Neurospora crassa OR74A: one gene and its partner. The protein of the gene in region 1 purifies or fractionates together with the protein of each later gene. This does not show direct contact. Links are inferred from orthologs where the notes say so. Each region holds a gene or a part of one and is shown on either strand. Other genes may lie near its edges. The genes, in order: NCU02717 and NCU00396.

Region 1 (8,054 bases):
GATGCTTCGCGTGGATCAGTCTCCTCATCCGACCTGGGAGATTCGGACGATGACAGGAAGAGAACCAAGAAAATGAGAGGTAAGCAAATGATTACTACAGGATTGGCAGCTGTGGCGACCATCCACGCTGCCCACAACATCTACCAAAGCGTGGAGAAGCACAGCGTACGTAAGAAGGCAGTGAGGGAAGGGGAATTGAGTCCGGAAGAAGCCAAGAAGCTCAAGCAGAGAGCCATGCTGCAAGATGCCGCATCGGTCGGCATCGCGGCCCTGGGCATCAAGGGCGCCATCTCGGAGATGAAGGAGGCTCGTGAGGTGACGCACGAGACGCATGAGTGGAAGAAGAAGAAAGAGGAAAGGCATCAGAGACGGCTCGAAAGACTGCGGGCAACGGCAAACCAGGCAAATGACTTTGACGGGGACGGCCGTGGCGACATTGTCGACTTCGGCAGACGCAGGGCTGACAACTGGTCTTCTTCAGCGCCGCCCAAGGCGACCCGCCTGGAGGATGGTCCCTATTATACTGATGGGAATCCATACGGTGCCATGCCTCGCAATCCATCTCCTCCATCGGGCAGCAGTCCTGGCAGGAGATGAGTTATGGGCAGGTTTGCCATTGCCCGCTTTATCGTCGTCTGTCACCCGTGCTCTCTAATTTGACCCGACATTCAATCTGCATTCTTGCATCCCCAATCCTACGCGGTGCCTCAAGAAACAACAAGAGAGCTGGTCACTACTGGGCGTTTGCTCAACTTGAGCTGAGCGAGGGAGCGTGTGCCTTGCTTGAGCTCATGCTGGTCTGACGAACACCTTGACCGTTAGAGCCCAGCCCCTCCTTCTGCTTGGTTGGACACATGCGCAAGGGGAAATCTTCCAAACTGCGATGCCTCATCGCTTATTACAGTTGCTGTTGCGCCTCCTGATATGCTTTGGTTACGATGAACATGACCTTTTTCTTCCTTTTTCATCACATACACGAAAAGTTATCAAATGCAGTTGTTTAACCAGTTGACTAATTGTTCTCCCGCTTTCTGCGCAAACAGATCACCGTCGCTAAACATAGTCTCCACTATCTGAACCGATTGAACCGAAAAAGACAGGAGGACCCCGAAATCCAGGGAAATGTGGCGATCCTTGGCAGGGGTTGCAAGCAGGTTTTTTTGCGTTGTACGACTGAACGGGCACGCATGTTGAACCTCGACAAACAGGAACTGTGAGGAATGACGCGCACTCAAACCACTGCAAGTCTGCAACAGCGAAATGATTGATGGGAAAACGGTTGTTGGTCGGTGCCGAAACGGCCGGTACCGGAACGGAAACGCGCCGCACGCTGGCTGTCTGAGCTGTTCTGGTTGGCTCGCAAGTCACACACATGGATGTTTGGATCTCACGAGACTTGGCGTGTGGTTGGTTGGCCTGGCTGCCAAAGGATACAACATGCGGTTATGTCGGCCCCTACATCCTTACACTTCCTATCTTTCGGCATCTATGCATAGCTTGTTCCTCCCTTGCCCACTCTCTGTACTCCTTACTCCAACTTTCTTACACCTTCTGCTGGGCGGCAGCTACAACGACATGTTTTCGCTCTCTTTCTACTTTTTTCTACCTATTCTTTCCTTTTCATGATGATGATGATAATGATGGTCAACAGGTTGGGTTTTATGAGGATGATGAAGAAACAGATCAATTCCGAGAGGTTGAGAGAATGACAATGATAAACAATGTATGCCTCTTTGCGAATTCTCACGATATATGTATAAAGAGAAGGCCGGTAGTCAGTTTCTTTCATGGAGATAAACGATACTTTTTGGACCCACGAATACAATGTGCTGGAAATCGACGTCAAGACCACCATGAGATTCGACGGCCGAGGAAGACCTGATATCCTCAGAGTATCCCAACATGTACAAAGCCGTATTTAATCGTACGGGATATGGAACAACCTACCAAGCAGTTGGTTAAAATATAATTCACACCTTTCATCAAAGTATGGGGTTTCTATCGTGGTTTGGGCTTTTTATGTGATCTTTAATACCGAGAACAACTCAAGAGGTATATATGTGTGGGAGTAAAGATCCGCACCATATCGGTTACTGTATTCGGGGGGAAAAGTTTATGGGCTTCTTGGTCTGCGGCCTAATATAACATTGCATCTCCTACACTAGCTGCTCCCTCCCTGAGCCGCTTCATCGACAGCAGCGCCACCAGCACCCCCCGCGGCCTGCTGTTTCCAAGCATTCGCCATGGCCAACAGACTCGACAAGTTCTTGGTCTGCTGATCATCAGCCGGGAAGATATAATCGACATATTCCTCCCAAGTATCATCCTCCAGCTTACGCTTCTTCTTGGTCTTCCTAGGCATTTGTTTCTGAATCTTTTCGATATCCTCCGCCGACCCATGCGTCTTCTCAAACGCCAACCACGCGTTGAGCAGCGACACACGCTCGGCCTTGAGCTCGCGCTCCTTCATGCTCTTGTGCGCCCTCTCAAAGATCTTGCGAGCACGTGCCTTGGCCTCTTCGCTAACAGGCTTCTCTTCCACCTCCTCCTCCGTTTCTTCCTCCTCCTCGGCCTCGTCGGGTATGTTGATCTCGAACTGGGCGTAACTGATCCAGACCTTGGGGTGATCGGCCTTCTCGAGCAGGCGCTCGTACAGGGCACGCGTCCGCTCGTACTCGCCCTCTTCTTCCTCGAAATCGATGTACGCCTTCCATACCACCTCGGGCATGTCCAGGATCGGCTGCGAGACAGCGAGCTCGAAGATGGCGCGGGTGCGCTCGAGATCGTCGAGACCACGTTCCAGCTCGGCCCACTTGATCCATGTTTGGCAGTTGGCCGGGTTGTACATGACATGCTTTTCGTAGAGGGTGCGGCAGCGCTCGAACTCGTAGAGCTTCTGCTCGAGGAGGATGTACTCCTTGAAGATCTTGTCTTTGGGGCACATGCCGATGGCGCGGCCGAGGGTTTTGCGGGCCGTCGTTAGTTGGCCCTGTCGGATCTCGAAGTGCGCCTTGGCAACCCACACTTTGGCAAAAGTGAACTTCTTGTGGGGGATCAGGTTCAGACAGGTGTCGTAGATCTGACGGGCTCGCCCGATATCCTTTGTTTCCCTCTCCTCCCATATCGCGTAAAAGAGGAAGAGGAAAATGTACCGCCTCCAGTGTCGCTTCTCTTGGGTTGGCGGTACTTGAGCAATGGCTCGCTCGTAGACTTCTCTGGTCCGATCGACATCTCCTCCGCTCTCCTCGAGTCGCGCAAAGTCAAACCAGACGTCGTAGTTCTTTGCGTTCTCCTTGACTTGCTCCTCGTACAATCTCCTCCTCTTTGTAAGAATGACGTCCTCCACACCCTCCTTGTCGCCAAACTGCTTTTCAAATGTGGTGTAGTGGGCATGTAGCGTCATCGACTTGGACCGAGGCAAGTTGTCGAGGCCAAACTTGTAGATGGCACGGGCCCGCTCATACTCACGCAGACGGGCCTCGTACCGGGCGAAGGCGATGAATATCCTCTCGTCAACGGCATCGTCGCCTAGCGTTTCGGCAATTGTCTGGATAGCTGTCTGGAAGACCTCGCGGACCGTGTCGCTGGTCCCGTATTCCTCTTCAAACTTGGCCCACTTGAGCCACGTCCTCGGTTCCGGATGGACGGCGGTAAAGGCCCTGAAGATCTCCCTTGCCCTGTCGAACTCGCCGTAACGTTTCTCTAGACGGATATAAGCACTCCACGCCTGCTCATCTGGCTGCCACTTCATCCACCGGTCGAAGACTTGTCTGGTACCCGGAATGTCGCCGAGCATCTCCATAACGTAGAGATACTGGTACCAGAGAGATGTGACTCTGGGCAGCCGCGTGACAGCGCGGTCCAACAGATTGCGTGCATGGTTGATGTTACGGTTCTTGATCTCTGCTTGAACGTATCGGATCCAGAGTTCTGTTGGACATATCGTTAGCGACTGATGTGCGCCACATTTAACAGCACATGGACACTTTGAGTTTAGACAAACATACGAGTATTGTTGGGATGTACATCCAGAGCGCGCTCGAACACAGAGCGAGCCCGCGCAAACTCCTTCTGTTCTAGCTCCCATTGAGCATACTGGAGCCAGTTCGATAGACGAACTCGGTTACGCCGCACGTAGTCCTCAAACTCCTTGCGCTTACGACCTTGGTATTCCTTGAGCTCCTCGAGGTCGGCAAAGCGCTGTGTCGGGGTCTGGAGGTTGACTTCCTGGCGGTCGACGGCCTCGCGCAGCAGCTGCTCGGCCGAGATCTGTACAGGCGCAGGGGCTTTATTCTTCACCCGTGGCGGGCCGCGCGATGACTCCATTGTGAAGATGGGCGTAAAAAGTGGCGATCTGCAGATGTTGGCGTGGTGTTGTAAGTTCGGTTTCTCAATGAGATTTTGGGGTCTGGACGCAACAGCAGCCAGCCACTGAACTCAGTTGAGGACGCGCTGCGATTGATGGACCGTGGCTCGATGCCCCTGCCTACTTACTGAACCTTGCTGCACAGTGGGTATGGACACTTTTCGCTCATCATGTCATTGTACATCTGATAGGTAGTACATGTCCGACCTCAGCGAGCAGGTTCGCCCATAAGACGACGCTGAGCCGCTGGAAGGCCGCTGTATTGGGTGTGGCTGCGAACTACGCCTACTTGACACTATCTACTCACTGCACTGGCAGCTATCGGCGACATACCAAGCCGCACTGTGTACGACCGGCAGGCAAAGCACTGGCGCAACGAGGTCAGTACAGTACGCTAGGCCGTGATGCAACGCCGCGGTCTCTTGCCTCCATTCTTCCCAAAACCAAAACAAGTCGACAACACATCGAACTCTTTTCCATTCTTTCTTCGGCACACGGCAGCTGTTGTACCTGTATCAGCGACTGTCCCGTTTACTCCTGAATCTAACCACCTTGAGACCCGAACAGTCGCCGAATATTCTGCCCAGGAAACAGGGTTTTGCCAACATGTCGTCTACTCTCGACGAGCTCCTCCAGGACTTTGAGGACTCTGGCTCCGAGGCCGGTGGCGAGGAGTATGGCGATGGTCTTCTAGGCGATGGCGTTGACACGACTGGAGGCTCCGGCGTGGACGACGCACATGTACCGATCAATGATGAGGATCAAGATGAAGGCATGGGCGACGAGGAGGGCGAGGACGAAGACGAAGCTATGGGTGGCGTCGGCGCCGACGACTCGAATGCTGTAGAAGATCCCGAGGAAGCAAAAGCCAAGGTTGAGAAGATGCATCTGGGAGGAGTGCGAGATGTTCGAACTGTTGCGACTCTTATGAAGTCATTGAAGCCAGTACTCGAGGTTAGTTCCCTTATACCCGTTTGCGGTGCTCCCTTTGAACATGGAAAAGCGTTTACATCTTATTTGAGCAATAGCCCTGACAGTCTGGATCGAACGTTGCAGAAAATCGCACACTATCAAGCACAACCCGCTCAGGCCAACGACGTCGGCCATGTCGAAGATCACCCGGAATACAACCTCTTGACCAACGCCAACAGACTGTCTACTCTGATAGACAGTGAGGTGGCCCTTGTCCACAAGTTTGTGAGGGATCACTTCTCCGCCAGATTTGCTGCACTCGAGTCGCTATTACCGAACCCAATCGAATACTGCAAGGTTGTTGCCATCTTGGGCAACTCCCCAATGGACTCGGAGAGCATGAAAGCGTTGCAGCTTTCCACCGATAACCCTCTGGGGTTAACCCTCAAGTCAGTTCTTGACGGACCAACCTTGATGATTGTCACGGTGGAAGCCACGGTTTCCAAGGGTCAATTTCTGGGCGAGAATGAGATCCAGCGCGTCACAGAAGCGTGCTTGATGGTGGTCGATCTTGATAAGGCTAAGAAGACCCTCACTGAGTACGTACAGTCTCGCATGAACATCTTTGCGCCAAACTTGACGGCTCTCATCGGTTCCCTCACAGCAGCACAGCTTCTTAACCAAGCCGGCGGCCTGACTGGCCTTTCCAAAACCCCGGCTTGCAACCTCCCGGCTTGGGGCTCTAAGAAACAGACAAGTTCTGCTCTTGCCACCAATGTCGGCATCAGACAGCAGGGCTTCATCTATCAGTCAGACATCATTCGTGGGATTCCAACCGACCTCAAGAAACAGGCTATGAAAATGTTTGCAAACAAGATTGTCATGTGCGCGCGCACCGACTGCTTTCACCAGTTCAGGGATGGGTCAGAAGGCGAACGACTGAAGGACGAATGTCTAGACCGCCTAGATAAGTTGCAGCAAAAGCCAAACAGCAAGGGCGCACGCGCTCTCCCGGCACCCGACGACAAGCCGAGTAGAAAGCGTGGTGGCCGACGCGCTCGTAAAGCCAAGGAGGCCACGGCCATGACGGAATTGCGCAAGGCTCAGAACCGTATGGCCTTTGGCAAAGAGGAGAAGGAAGTCGGTTATGGCACGGGCGACGCTACCGCTGGCATGGGCATGATCGGCCAGCGTGACGATGGACGTCTACGGGTCACGCAAATCGACCAGCGCACGCGTGCCAAGTTGAGTGCAAAGAGCAAGGGCTGGGGTGGCGCCAGCTCGCTCAATGGCGGCGCCGCATCATCTCTCAGAGGGCTTGCTGGCGGTGGCAGCGGCATTGGCAACATCAATCTGGCTGCCAGCAAGGGCTTGCGGACGTCAGGCGTTGGTACCACGGTGGGCAGCGCCACCGCCGGAACGGTATCGTCGTTGGCGTTTACGCCTATGCAAGGCTTAGAGCTCGTTGATCCAAAGGTGCAATACGAGCTTAGCAGGAAGCGCAAAGCAGACGAGGACCGCTGGTTTAAGGGCGGCACATTCACCCAAGTTGGCAACTCGGGTGGCGCCGGTGAATTCAAGAAGCCTGCATTGCCCCCCAGCAAGAGACAAGATACGGGAGCGACGAAGTGACACCTGTACATGGAGACGGTGGACGAGCCGGTCGATGAAAGCGTACGCCGGTGACCAAGCGTGGTCCCCTAACCTCAATCCCGTTGGGATGGCTCGGTGTGTCCCTGGTCAGTTGGATACTCTGAAGGGAGAAGTATCCGAGCTAATACCGGCTAAGCTAAAGTTTGCACAACTCATGTCATTCTAGATCATAATCATATCATGGACTCGGCAATTTTTTGAGGGTCATGCTGCTAGGGGGAAAAAACTCAGGGAAGTGATCACATTCCATTTGCGACAAAGGCTTTTCTCCTGTACTTTGGTTGATGTTATGTTGCTGTACATGCATCCTCTTATCGTGTTGATGTTCCACTGTTAACCTAAACCAATTCATAGGAGAGGGAATGAGTTTACCAGTCCCATGCACTACGACTGTTAGTGAACCTATAACGTAGGAATCCGTAGATCTTACGAAATCTCATGTGTGTTTCTAATCAGAACATCGATGATATCCTTCTGCTTCAGTTCGGCATACCGAGATCCTGAAGACAGACGGCTCGAATAATTTAGGTATACGGTTTGGTTTCCTTCGGCATGGCCATGTTTAAAGGGTGTGCGTACGTCTGACACTCACCGGGCATGCCTTTTGAAGACAAACAACATAGAAGACACGCAGAAGTACCGGCCCTTACACAAAGAACAGTTGGGCCGCTGCTTGTCCGTTCGTCTGTTGTCTTTAGCTGCAGGCCAAGTCCAGACCGGTTGTGTCACGACATACCTGTCTGCCAGTATGACCGTCAACAAGTAGAATGGCATCCTATCGTGTCATGTTGGTTTAGGACATCTTCTGAAGTAGTCAAGGTAGTCAAGGGTATCGTTGGCTTGTAATACATACCTGATCCCAACTTGGGGGTGGAGCTCCATCTAATCTCTTTTATCTCAAGTCCTGGAGAGAGAGAAAAAGAAAAGGCAAAAACAACACCAGACCAAGAAAAGACAAAAAGAAACGCAAAAGAAAAAGAAAAAAAAAAAAGAACAAAGGTGAAAGAAAGGAAAAGAAAAGGAAAAAGAAAAGAGATTGCAAAAAAAAAGCTACAGAAGAACGAGGAAACATAGAGAGAGAGAGAGAGAGAGAGAGTAAAGCACCAAATAGATTACCATACCG
Region 2 (6,850 bases), on another chromosome or scaffold:
GTATCATTGAAGAGTTGTTCTTTTCGTGGCCCTAGAAGCGACGCTAAATTGGAATCACCCCACGGTCATGGCCCTTCTGGAACCGAAGGGCTTACATCCCGTCATATAGTTCAGAGTGCGGTTCATGGGGCTTTGTAATTAGCTTGACATCTCTGCTGCGCAAAGGTCAGTCATATCGGTCGCATTGGCGACGTGTTGTTCCAGCGGTATCACGCCATAGAGTCTCCATTCAGGGCGCAGAAGCGAAAACAATGTTGATGGTGATCCGGGCTAGTTGTGCTGTGCCGTCTGGCTGGTTAGAAGACAGGTCATGATTCACATTGCGTCAGAGAGGAAAATGGAAAACTGAGGGTAGTTGATGACAGCTAACTAAGGCAAAGCTGCCCTTCAGGAGAATAAAACGACATCTGCATCGTCAAAAGATGATAGGATCTGGCAGGTGGTTGATTAAGCTTTGGTCAACCAAGATTCGTCAGCTTCAAAATCCGTGGCTTCATAGATTTTGCCTCAGACAGGGCGCTTGATGTCGAAGAAATCGGCGAGTTTTGCCCAATTACTCCTGTTTTCCGCTTATTCAAGAGGTGATGATGCTCGGAAGCGGAGAATGTTGCACGATGCCCCTCAAGAACAACTTGGGTACGAATAAACCGAACAGAGACGGTCCGATACCGCTCATCGTGGTTGGAGCTAGGAAAGGCCGCTACAAATCTCTATTGAATGGGAATTATGATATACGAAGGTACAATAGCTCGAGTTCTGTTCCAGGGGGTGACTCAAACTCAGGTTCAAAGGTATACCAAGAGGTAGTAAAGATGCTTAGATGTATACCTAATTGGTTTACCTACCCAAGGTCTGATGTACTGGCTGTGACGTATTTCGGCTTATTCTTACCATTCCATTAGGTTTGGCAAGTCAACCGGGTTCCCTCAACAATTTCCTTTGTCAAAAACGAGACCAGGTCCCTGACAGCGCTGTGGAGAGCCGCTGACAGCTCCTCCGTCGGGTCTGCCCCCACGAACACTTGCGGGGCTGCGGGGTTACCCTCCGGCTACCTATCGATAAGTCACTTTGCCCCCACATTACCGACGTCAATCATCTCTGTTCCCGTATTGAAGATTTGTCAACCCTTCAAGTCGAACATGACCAGATCTTTGAATCTGGACATTCTCCTTTTCCAGTTTCTCACCTTGCCCCCAAAAAAAGACAAGATAGAGGTTCGTTCCGCAGACAACTGACTTTCAACCATGGCCTGCTGTACCTGCGCAAAGCTTTTACACTTGGTGCCCCGCTTCGTCCATGAGACCGAGAAGCCTCTCCCGGACGATCGGCGATTGAGCTGTTGCGGCCGAGTAATCTGCGGTAACTGTATATATGTAAGTATCACCAAGCCGTCAGTCAGGCTGAAACTTGACCGCTACATCACGCCGCCATACCTACTCTGCGAAGCGACGCAAAAAAAAGGCACCTTGATGGCCAACCTTTCATTTCTATGTTTTGTTCATAGGCGCGATAGACAGTCTACTAACACTAGAGCAGAACAACCCCCGTTTTAGCAGTTACTGTCCTTACTGCCAAACCCCATCATCATCATCATCATCTTCCTCTTCATACCTTACTCCCATAAACCCCCGCGGTCCCAAATATCGCCCTCCTTCTCACCATTACCGAGCTGAAAATACACAAGCCGCCAACGACGACAAAGATACACCACCACCACCACCATACCCCGGCCCTATCTCCTACAACAATCATCTTCCTCCCCCATCCTCCTCACCGCCCCCTTATTCTTCAACCATCTCTCTCACAGCCACAGCATCAACCCAGCAAGAGCCCAAACCTCCACAAGACAACCCAAACACCACCATCCCAGACACAATTCACCACCTCACACCCCACGACACCCTCCCCTCCCTCTCCCTCCGCTACTCGATTCCCCTTCCTGTCCTCCTCGCGCATAACCGTCTCCCGCTCTTCTCTCTCTCCACCTCTTCCTCCCCTTTCCACTCCAGTTCTTCCGCACTTCTATTCGCCCGCGGTAGACGCACCATCAGTATCCCGGGAGAATACAACCCATCCGGCGTATCGCTTTCTCCCTACCCTGTAGAAAGCGACGAGGAGGTGGAACGGAAGAAGAAGATAAGGAAGTGGATGATGAAAGCCAAAGTGGCAGACTATGATGTTGCGGTATTGTATCTGGAGGGAAATGATTGGAATGTGGAAAGCGCAGTAAAGGCGTTGGAGGACGATGAGATGTGGGAGGCCCTAAACCAACCACCGCCTACGAAGGGGAAAGGGAGGGTTATGGGAAGGACGTGGATTAGTGGGGTGAAGAGGTTGGTTCCCACTGCTTCTAGTACTGCGTCGAAGTTTGGCAAATAGGTAGTCAAGCCGGGGATCGGGACTTGAAAGCCAGGAAGACTGGATCGTAAGCAGTTATGATGCCATGCTTTGTGTACCCAAAATTTTGTATATTGCCAAGCAATATGGCTCTTCTTTTCTTTTTGTTTAGCCACGTACCAATCTGTCTCTTCTTTCCATCGTTAAATCTAAGCACAACGGCGTACATACAATTGACGCCTAAACCACTTACCACCACCGGAGCGCCTAGCTGAATCAACAGCAGTAATCCAAGTTAACATTACAACAAGGCTTTGATCCATCCCAGATGTCTGTGAAAACGACGCGCTTCTTTGCAAGGAGTTTCATATACATTAAACCATAAGCTCGCAGCCATTACTTCTCACCCAGAAACGATGTACTCAAGTTTAGAAGGCAGACCGGGTGCGGATATCCTAGACAAAGCAAGCAGGTTAGTAAGTGAATTGTTTCTCGAAATTCAAGGGGGTTTGAGGGAACACATACCGAAATCTTGCGCTCGATTTCCCTCACCGAGCGATCAAGTTCTCCCGCAATCATCTGCTTCTTATCATTCGGCAGCAAGCTAAACCTCTCGCACAAGTCACCATCGATCACACCCTTGACGGGGGTATAGTAACCCCGGTAGATCAAATGATCACGGCCGGCAAGCGGCGGGTCTTCAGCGCGCATATGATTCTCCAGATTCTGGAAGAAGTCGACATCCTCACGGCTGACAAAGGGAATGAAAACACCGACAGTGCCCTGCAAGCCGCTCCAGAGCAGCACGTCCTGACCACCGACAACTAGGCTGGTCTTGCATATGCTGGTCGGCAAGTCCTGAGTGTAGAAGTGGACCTGGAGGCTCAAGCGGTTGGGTGTGCCATGAAGGTAGTTGCGGGCGTGCATCAGGTGGATCTCTGATCCAGGCTCGTCAGTTTCCTGGCTGACGCGCTCTGGGCAACGGACGATGTATATGTTGCCGAACTTGTCGCCGCCGGCAACGGATTCGTAGTCGACCATGGTGGTGCAGGTTGTCCAGCGGTTCAAGGTGTCGTCAGCAAAGGGAATGAGTCTATTGCCCTCGGCCTTGTAGACAACGTACGTGATGCCTTGCTGGAGATCGCCGACAATGATGCGGTTACCCTGGCTTTGTAGGGAGACGATGAGAGTGGGCGTCACATCTGCTTGAGCTTTTCGGAGCAGTTGCTTCAAACCGAGGTCGTAGATACGGAGTGTCTTGCCGACGCCAGCAAGCAGACGTCCTTGGAACGGAATGAGTGCCAAAGGCGGCTCTTCTACTCGGGTCTTATGAATGAACTCCAGGTCCCGGCCGTCTTCATGGAATCTGTAAACATGGATGTAGCCCTCGGTAAATTGACGTGGGTCGAGGACCATATCTTTGCCCGTGCCGACAACCAGGAAACTTTCGCCCTCTTGACTGGCAAAAGGTACAATGGCCGCGCTGACTGCCGCCTCATTGTTGTCAAGATCAATCCTTTGGAGGACTCTCGGTTCCTCACTGATAGGGTCGATAATGCTGATGCACGATGCCCATCTACCTTTGGCTCTGGGATATCCAAAGTCCTCTGGCGGCAGTACCGTTGCGTCGCCATTGCTTTGTTGCTCCAGAAGCTTTGCCCGCAGCTCCGGGGGGAGGGTGTTATTGTCGGATTCGATAGTGTAAAAGTATGGCTGTTCGGGATGCTTGACCAAGTGCTTAGGTGTGTAAGTCAAAGGAATGGATTTCTGAATCATGTTGTCGCCCAGTTTTTCGATTGAAAAGATTCTGCACTCAATGTCAGTGTCTGTGAAGATAAGGACGTGCAAAATGGATGGGTGTATCGGGTTGTATTTGTAAGGAACAATTGGTACAATCACATATGATTGCTCCAATCGCCTCATTACCCAAGGGCATAGAGTTCACTTTCCTCATCACATAACTGGACGCCAAACAATTTGGAATAAACTGACCTTAGGTAGTTGGCATGAATACCAACCATGCCTTCCAAGCACTGTTCGCTACTGAAGTTCCAACCATACTCAAGCTCGGTGTAACTTAGGGGCGTCATCATGAAGCCCTTAGTAAGTGGGTCGGTGTAGCCTAACCATGGCCTCGAGCTCAGCGCAAGAACACATGGCTGATCCTGAACTGATACTTGGAAAAGTCTGGTAGGCTTGGGACCCAAGAATTTTTGACGAGTGTCTGTCAGTTCGCCCGTCACTTCATCCAGCACAGTCCGGAGGTAAACGCCCGAATGCAATCCGATGTGGAGATAGAGCGTGGATCCACCAAACGAGTCCTCCATCGACATGATTGATAAAGCCGAGGGCGCGGCTGTTAAAGCTTGGATGGACTTCATCTCGAGTGTTGAATCAGGGTCCAAGCTAAGAATGCGAACTGTGCAATCATCGCATCCTACAGCTAGGAAAGAGCTTCGCTTCAGGCCCTCCGGTACTTGACCGACGCTCAGCGATGTGACGGTACCCGACATCTCCTTCTTTTCGTCATACTCGGCGAGCGAACCATCCGAGTCCATTTCGAAGTAGACGATTTCGCCAGAGCTCAAGGCGATGACAACCTGATTCTCATTTGCCGTGGCAGCAACAATCGAGCGATGCTGAGGTGCAGGCCATTCATTGACACGACCTTGGACGATGTGGCGAATGCCCTTGGGGTGAACTTGTATCAAGCCATCCTCACCCATTTGCTGCACAGCTAGGGTGGGCGCCGTAGTCAAGAAACCACTATCGCTGACCTCTTCTACCGTCTCACCAATGCTGAGAACCAATGTTCCATTTGTGAATGACAGCACAATATAAGCATCGTACTGATCGTACTTGGTCAACTTAGTCGTCCATACAGCAGAAGGTGTACCCGGAAGCTCCGAAGCGACAATTTCAGACACTTCGAGTCCGTGCTTCAACATGCGGAAAGTACTCCGCGCCCCATTTCCACAGACAGAGTAGATCTGGGGCGCGTCCTCTCCCGTCAGATTCGCAACCTTGCAGTCGACCTGAGGGTTCATCGAATCAATGCTCTCAACCAGGACCAGATTTTCAAGTGGCCTGGGGTGGAAGTACACCGGGTTATATGAGGCGGTAGGGTCTGTCGGGAAGTCGTCGCTGCTGAACTCGAGCTCCTCGTCATCGTCTCCGAGCTTTTCAAATTGGTAAAAGTGATGGTTTCCAAACTCGCTAGCGGCGAACAGGAAGCCGCTCTTCAGGATGCAAAGACTAGTGGCTACTGGTATCGTGTCGAAGTACTTGATCTTGAGGCGCTTGACCTCTCCGGTGGGGTTGCCGTCACTATCTTCGATCATGTCAATGGTGACTTTGAAGAGATCTCCATCGTCCGTCTGAAGAAGGAAGAAAAAGGCGCCCGCGCTTCCCTTGAGCTTGTGCATAACGCCAGAGACGATAACCCGCTTCCTCTGAGGATCTTCGGTGGCACCGCTGCGTCTAGGGATGGGGACGCGGAAAGCCTCTTGATTCGAGTGCCGATAGGTGACATTTTCCTCGCCGCACACCAAGACACCGCTGGGACCGTCATTGCCGCCGGGTACTTGGAAGAGAAGTGAAGAAGTGCGATCGACAGTATCTGACCACTTGCGTACAACGTGGTTCAGGCCCAGATCAAGCTCGTAATATACCAGCTGTGTCTCGACTTCTTCTCGTGCTTGGCCCGTAGGATCTTGGTCCGCGTCCGTGTAGTCCAGTTCCAACGCAGCGAAAACGGGGTTTGCGTAACCAACGTCAAGGGCAACAAGAGACAGCACCAACACGCCTGGCTTGTGGGCTTCCAGTGGTGACGAGATGGTAAGCTCGGCCTGTGAGTTTCGGTTGAGAACATAGACCAGCTTGTTCTTTTCGAGTGCCGAAATGAGGCATGCTCTTCCCTTTGGATCTGCGGCTAAGTACTGGCCGGGGATGACTCGGCGGACGCCCGATTTGCCGAAAGTCTCGAGGTGGATGCGCTGAAACTTGTTCGTCTTGGGGAGATACTCGATAATCGTAATGCGGCCCGAATCAGTGGCGAGGATAATGTAGTCTGGGTGGCACAGGGTTTTAGCACAATCCCGCTACCGATTTGAATGAGTCTCTCAAGTCCCCAGAAGACTCGTAGGCCTGGGTGCATGGTGCGTGACCATACGTGTGGCCCCTCTACCCAGAAGCACCTGGGGAACGGATCCAGAATCACTATATTGCCCAACACAGGAGGTGGCGGGGAGGTTACTCACCCTTGTGGCTGCCGGCCAGACGGAACGACGCGATGGCGCGTACGATGCCGAAGATGTCATGAGACAACAGGGTGTTGACCTTGCCCTGACGGGGATCAGGCTGAAGGAGGGTTAGACGCGATCCAGACGCCGTAAGAATCTGCTGTTCCTTGGTTCCCGAGAACTGACCAAGCAGAGCCTGCGTGACAGCGGTGGGTGGCTGGATGGTCAAGGAATACAGGAACATGTTCGACGTAGTCGCCATGGCTGCAACT

Evidence for each region.
Region 2: the proteins of NCU02717 (region 1) and NCU00396 purify together in Saccharomyces cerevisiae (affinity purification with mass spectrometry, with the first as the bait; 4 studies listed by BioGRID). This does not show direct contact. The link is inferred for Neurospora crassa OR74A from reciprocal best matches to the Saccharomyces cerevisiae genes CLF1 and RSE1.

What each region holds. Positions count from the first base shown.
Region 1 is NC_026501.1:3,297,639-3,305,692, reverse strand, and holds NCU02717 (pre-mRNA-splicing factor clf-1), read right to left. Parts: upstream 4,426-8,054; 5' UTR 4,327-4,425; coding exon 4,008-4,326; intron 3,931-4,007; coding exon 2,162-3,930; 3' UTR 1,958-2,161; downstream 1-1,957. Other genes in the region: NCU02718 (hypothetical protein), read left to right, coding at 1-597; NCU02716 (pre-mRNA splicing factor), read left to right, coding at 4,973-5,320, 5,423-6,910. UniProt on the Saccharomyces cerevisiae protein: Involved in pre-mRNA splicing and cell cycle progression. Required for the spliceosome assembly by promoting the functional integration of the U4/U6.U5 tri-snRNP particle into the U1-, U2-dependent pre-spliceosome.
Region 2 is NC_026503.1:3,708,770-3,715,619, reverse strand, and holds the end of NCU00396 (pre-mRNA-splicing factor rse-1), read right to left. Parts: 5' UTR 6,841-6,850; coding exon 6,597-6,840; intron 6,534-6,596; exon of another isoform or gene 6,407-6,533; coding exon 4,330-6,406; intron 4,145-4,329; coding exon 2,863-4,144; intron 2,793-2,862; coding exon 2,766-2,792; 3' UTR 2,380-2,765; downstream 1-2,379. Other genes in the region: NCU16683 (hypothetical protein), read left to right, coding at 1,245-1,373, 1,537-2,379. UniProt on the Saccharomyces cerevisiae protein: Involved in G2/M transition. Required for pre-mRNA splicing and endoplasmic reticulum (ER) to Golgi secretion pathway. U2 snRNPs associated protein required for the pre-spliceosome assembly.